Linked DNA regions of Tribolium castaneum. The protein of the gene in region 1 binds, or shares a complex with, the protein of each later gene. Links are inferred from orthologs where the notes say so. Each region holds a gene or a part of one and is shown on either strand. Other genes may lie near its edges.

Region 1 (3,826 bases):
AACATTTTATTAATAATATTAAATATTTTTTTCTAGTACTATTTCTTTTTGTCGACGCATTTAACCCATTCCACATGAAAGCCCATTAAATACTCTACCTTTCCTGAAAATTTCATCCCTCTAAAAGTTTGGGAAGACATCCAACCCTTAGTTTGAAATATGTCAACATTTTATTAATAATATTAAATATTTTTTTCTAGTACTATTTCTTTTTGTCGACGCATTTAACCCATTCCACATGAAAGCCCATTAAATACTCTACCTTTCCTGAAAATTTCAACCCTCTAAAAGTTTAAGAAGACATCTAACCCTTAGTTTGAAATATGTCAACATTTTATTAATAATATTAAATATTTTTTTTAGTACTATTTCTTTTTGTCGACGCATTTAACCCATTCCACATGAAAGCCCATTAAATACTCTACCTTTCCTGAAAATTTCAACCCTCTAAAAGTTTGGGAAGACATCCAACCCTTAGTTTGAAATATGTCAACATTTTATTAATAATATTAAATATTTTTTTCTAGTACTATTTCTTTTTGTCGACGCATTTAACCCATTCCACATGAAAGCCCATTAAATACCTACCTTTCTTGAAAATTTCAATCCTCTAAAAGTTTGGGAAGACATCTAACCCTCTGTTTGAATTAGTATGTCGTTCTATTAACTTTTTTTTTCAAATAATGTTTTTGAAGAAGAAATTAACGAATAATTATCTTATTTAGGTGGAATCTGCCCCCTAAATAATTGGGTAGCATGCCCTCCTCGTTTTTGTTTTGCCTTTATTAGGCGGTTTCACCTTTTTGTGTCAACTAGTAAACTATCTACATCCCCCATTGCTTTCAAAGATACAACAAGTTTGAAATTGCATTTACTTTATTTTTTTTAATAACAATACACTTGAATTTTAAAAGAAAATGAGTAAATAATTTATTTTCTTATAATTTGTGAGAAACGTAGCAACGTCGCAAAGTGCTGAAAACGCACATCCGTGATTTGACTGGTCCGCTGGAAATTTCATGGTGCTAGCTCTTTCCAAAGTGCTATCGTCACCGTAATATTTTTGACCAACCCTGCCACCCAAATTCCCCAACGTTTGAATAATTAAAAAAACATAGCCAAAATATTTTATGCCCAAAAACTTGGCATTTCGAAGCAGAGCGAAAACCAAGTTTTTTCTACACTTATTAAGACGAAGCGAGTGGTTAATTAAATAACAACTCCTTCGGAGGAAAAGTTGGGTTAGCTTTAAATCTGACAATTGCGTTGACAGTAGTTACCCTAACCCTAATTTTAAGTTTGCAAGGGGGCTGTTTAAATGGCAGACGCCGAGCCCGCGCAACCCAGCTCGCTTTTTTTGAAACCAACAAACTTAGAATGTAAAAACTTGTACGACTACTTAAAAACGCGCTCTTCGGCAACGTTGGAAAAACTCTACAACCATCCAACGATTTGTTTGGCCGTTTACCGGTAAAAACCCACTTTAAAATTCCAAATTTCGATTGACGATTTTAGAGAATTGCCAGAACTGGCACGCCAGTACGTGATTCGAATTTTGTTCGTTGAACAGCCGGTGCCCCAGGCAGTTGTGGCGTCATGGGGGGCTCAGGCCTTTTCCAAGTGAGTGTTTAAATGCGCTTGTACACACGAAAAGGGGGGTTATTTGTAGAGAGCACGTTTATGTGAGTAAGGTTTTGAGCGAATTGTCGGTATGGCAGGAGGCTGCGATTCCAGGGGGGCTCCTAGGTTGGATCCTTTCAGTTACGTTTAAAAAGAATTTGAAAATTGCCTTATTAGGGGGGTGAGAGTGTAATTAGTGTGATTATTGCAATGACTGCGTGATTTATCCCAAGGGGCAAACCTTGGAGCATGTCTTCGGCTTTAGAAGTTGACAGTAAGGCAAGAGATGTGTCTTTTTTGGACGCTTATTCGCTCGAACGGTGGGAATGTGTGTTACATTACATGGTGGGGTCGCAACAACAAGAGGGAATTTCTGCGGATGCTGTCAGAATTTTACTACACGCTGGGCTTATGAAAAGGTTGAATTTCTCCAAAATTGACTCGTTATCTTATTTATATTTATGTAGAGACGAGGAAGATGGCAGTCCTGTTATAACACGTCAAGGCTTCCAGTTTTTACTCTTAGATAGGCAAGCACAAGTTTGGCATTTTTTACTCCAATATCTCGACACAGTTGAGCAAAGAGGATTAAGTCTGGTTGAATGTTTAACGTTTTTATTCCAACTCTCATTTAGTACACTTGGAAAAGTATGTCATAACTCATAACACTTGGCGTTTTTTTTTAATAGCAACATTTTTTTGTAGGATTATAGCACTGAAGGCATGAGTCCCGGCCTTTTAATTTTTCTCCAACACTTGAGAGAATTCGGATTAGTGTATCAAAGAAAAGTAGGTCTTGTTTTCGTTACCATGGTTACCAAATTTTTTTTTCTGGACGTCACATTCCACAGCACCCATGATTAATGTAATTAATTTTGTAGCGCAAAGCAGGCCGTTTTTACCCGACCAGATTGGCCTTAAATATTACGTGTAGCCAAGGCCCCGAAACTCGAATTTTGGAGGAAGACACTCCAAAAGGTTACATAATTGTAGAGACAAACTACAGGGTTTATGCTTACACGGATTCTAATCTTCAAGTTGCTTTAATTGGTCTTTTCACAGAACTGATGTATAGGTGGGTCACAAAATAAATAAAAAAATGTTATGACTATCGGACTTTTCCCAGGTTTCCGAACCTTGTAGTGGGCGTAATAACACGTGATTCCATAAGACAGGCTTTGAAAGGGGGAATCACAGCCGATCAAATTATCGGGTACCTCAAACAACATGCACATCCTCAAATGTTGGAAGGTGAGGCCAAACATCCTCTACCTCCGACAGTTGTGGATCAAATCAAACTGTGGGAAATTGAGCGGAACAGATTAACGTATTCAGAGGGCGTTTTATACAGCCAATTCCTATCACAGGTATTACAAGAAAAATTGTTACGCGGTTTTAATTTGTGTTTTAGGCTGATTTTAATATACTGAAAGAGTATGCACAGTCTAATGGCCATCTAATTTGGTGTAACAAAGAAAAACGGACTCTAATCATCAATAAATCGGCACATGATGATGTTAAAAAGTTCTGGAAGCGATATTCGAAAGGAAATTAATTTAGATTTAATAAAAACTTTACCACTGATCGTGTTTCATTTAAAATTCCCTCGCGGATGAAACAGTATCGCCAATCTAAACCAATTCTGTTTTCACGCGAAACGGGCGTTTTTCGCTACAAATTCGTATCAAAATGTTGGGAGTTTCGGCCCAAGTGCTTAAACTAAAAAAAACATGTGGAAGCGGGTCAAAAATTTGAGTTTTCGCCCAATTTTGGTTAAAATCTGGCCAATAAATTGTTGGCAATCCTGCCGACAAGTGTCAAACGTCATGTTGACATTGACAGTTCCTGTAAAATAACAATACGAAATAATTCGTAATTTGTGCAAAATGCCTGCCGCTGTGGACAACAGCAAGCCGGATCGGTCCGAGCAGATGTGGAAGGTGCTCAAAGCGCACATTCTGCGTGAGCGCGCTCGCAAAAAGCAAGAACGGGAGGCCGAAGTGGAAGAGGAACGTCTCCGTAAAGAACGCGAAGCTCGCGAGCAACAAGACGTCATGACTTTGGGTGAAACCCGCGAACAGATCTCACAGCTTGAGAGCAAGCTCCAGAAACTGAAAGAGGAGAAACACCAGTTGTTTTTACAGTTGAAAAAAGTCCTCAACGAGGATGATAATAGGAGGCGACAGAAGGAGAACAAGTGGGTCAT
Region 2 (2,164 bases), on another chromosome or scaffold:
GATCAATTTTAGATTTATTGAAGCTAGTCTTAAACACTCCAGGGATAATCTACACGCACTACCAAAGTAGTTAGAGTGCCTGATTTAGGTACTTTATGAATCATTATCATTACAAACACGCTTAACACCCAGTAGGGTAATTTGTACGACTTATGACTAGGCTAAGGTTTTTAATTCTCAACTTGTTTGCAATTATTTAATTATTTGAGCTTTATGACGAGCTCCGTCTGCGTTTTATTCAATTAATCAATAAGCAGTCGTACGCTAGAAACTACCACAAAAAATGGTTTGTTAACTAGACAAACACTGTGATTTAAACATCGCAATAAATCGCAGTTATTTTTACCATTTCTAGACAAAACTGCAATGGTGCGCTCAGCTCCATTTGCGTGTGCGTCATCTGACATTTCTCTCACTACGTTTACACAGCAGGGGCATAGCGGTGACAAACTATCAAATATTTTTTGAGGTTACGAAGTTGTTACAAAAAATACAGATTCACAAAACAAGAACTAATAAACGCAGAATCAAAAACCTAACGAAACGCAAATCACAAAACACAATAAACGAACAGAAAATACTTACGATTAACACCGATAACACACACTTTCGACAACGATGCGACGACGTCTATAATTTACTGTCAATGTCAATTAATGTTCAAGGATACCACCCTTAGATAGCCCTTAGCTGTTTAAATTTGCATTGTTTTTGACAATTTTTATAGCTTTGTGTTGGTAATGAAAAAATGAAATTGACGCACACGCAAATCGAGCTGACCGCCACTATAATAGACAAGACGGTATTTTATAAAGTCTGGAACAAATGCAATTATTTTATACAATAAAGTTGCTTGAATTTAATGTGTTTTATTTTTTTCGCACCAAATTGTTAACTAAACTTAAAAAAATCGTAACAATCAAAATTTCATCAAAAAAAGTTTTTATCGCAACTGCGACGCAACCAACAATACACTAAAGTAAAAGTATTGTTTGAACCGATAACAAGTTTCGGACTGATGCACTTTCGTGCAACTCTCCAATAACCAATACTTTTGACGTTTGACGCATTTGACATCTGAACGTTGTGCTATGTTTGTGTATGCCTTTAAATTAGTCAATTAGCTAGAAATCGAGAATGAATGACGAAGAATTCGACGGTGATGACGTGGGGGACGACTTCGACGACGACGTCGATGACGACAACATCGAGGAGCTGGAGCAGCCCGAGGAGGAAGGCGACAACATCGACATCCTCGCTCATGGCCAAGCCGGGGGCGGAGTGCCCAAAAACAAACGCATAACAACCAAATACATGACCAAATACGAAAGAGCTCGTGTTTTGGGAACAAGAGCTTTGCAAATCGCCATGTGTGCCCCAGTTATGGTGGAACTAGACGGAGAGACAGACCCGCTTCAAATCGCAATGAAAGAACTCAAACAACGGAAAATCCCCATCATAATCCGGCGTTATTTACCCGACCACTCGTACGAGGATTGGGGCATAGACGAACTCATAATAATTGACCACTAGTGTAATAAGATTTTGTTTTTAAGAATAAAGGCTAAGTAAACATCGAGTTTTATTTTAATTAAGCGAAAATCATTTCGTCGCGGCGGCGTTTCGGCTGATTGGGCCGAATCTGGCATTCAGGGTGGTTCATTAGTTCAGGGGGGCACGTTGAGACAGGTGACGATAGCAACATTTGCTTCAAATCGTAAAATAGGGCCGAGTCGTCGTTGGTGCAAAAACTGATAGCCACCCCGCTCTTCCCGGCACGGCCGGTTCGGCCAATACGATGGGTGTAATCTGAAAAAAAATAAACAAATTACAGATTAGATTTCCTTTTTTCTTCAGTTTGCACTAGTCATAAAGAAAAAAAATCTGGGACAAACTTATCTTACCTTCAATAGTCTTGGCCATGTCGTAATTAATAACAACGGAAACATCCTTAATATCAATCCCTCTCCCAGCCACGTCAGTGGCCACCAAAATGTCCTTAGCCCCCGACTTGAGACTAGCCAGTGCGTACTCTCTCTGCTCCTGCCCCTTACCCCCATGGAGCGTACACGCATTGTAGCCCAACTTCTCCAACCCTTTGGCCAAAACATCGGCCCCTTTCTTCTGATTAACAAAAATAATAATCGGTGGATCGACCCCTTTG

Evidence for each region.
Region 2: mrn (region 1) and Polr2F share a complex: the UniProt entries of both Homo sapiens proteins name them as parts of the TBP-based Pol II pre-initiation complex. The link is inferred for Tribolium castaneum from reciprocal best matches to the Homo sapiens genes GTF2H4 and POLR2F.

What each region holds. Positions count from the first base shown.
Region 1 is NC_087396.1:20,771,768-20,775,593, reverse strand, and holds mrn (general transcription factor IIH subunit 4), read left to right. Parts: upstream 1-1,118; 5' UTR 1,119-1,241; intron 1,242-1,267; exon of another isoform or gene 1,268-1,298; 5' UTR 1,299-1,318; coding exon 1,319-1,470; intron 1,471-1,515; coding exon 1,516-1,620; intron 1,621-1,669; coding exon 1,670-1,801; intron 1,802-1,853; coding exon 1,854-2,039; intron 2,040-2,087; coding exon 2,088-2,268; intron 2,269-2,325; coding exon 2,326-2,409; intron 2,410-2,501; coding exon 2,502-2,695; intron 2,696-2,746; coding exon 2,747-2,987; intron 2,988-3,031; coding exon 3,032-3,175; 3' UTR 3,176-3,202; downstream 3,203-3,826. Other genes in the region: G protein pathway suppressor 2, read left to right, coding at 3,507-3,817. UniProt on the Homo sapiens protein: Component of the general transcription and DNA repair factor IIH (TFIIH) core complex, which is involved in general and transcription-coupled nucleotide excision repair (NER) of damaged DNA and, when complexed to CAK, in RNA transcription by RNA polymerase II.
Region 2 is NC_087398.1:1,182,161-1,184,324, forward strand, and holds Polr2F (DNA-directed RNA polymerases I, II, and III subunit RPABC2), read left to right. Parts: upstream 1-1,137; coding exon 1,138-1,533; 3' UTR 1,534-1,579; downstream 1,580-2,164. Other genes in the region: probable ATP-dependent RNA helicase DDX23, read right to left, coding at 1,592-1,809, 1,905-2,164. UniProt on the Homo sapiens protein: DNA-dependent RNA polymerase catalyzes the transcription of DNA into RNA using the four ribonucleoside triphosphates as substrates.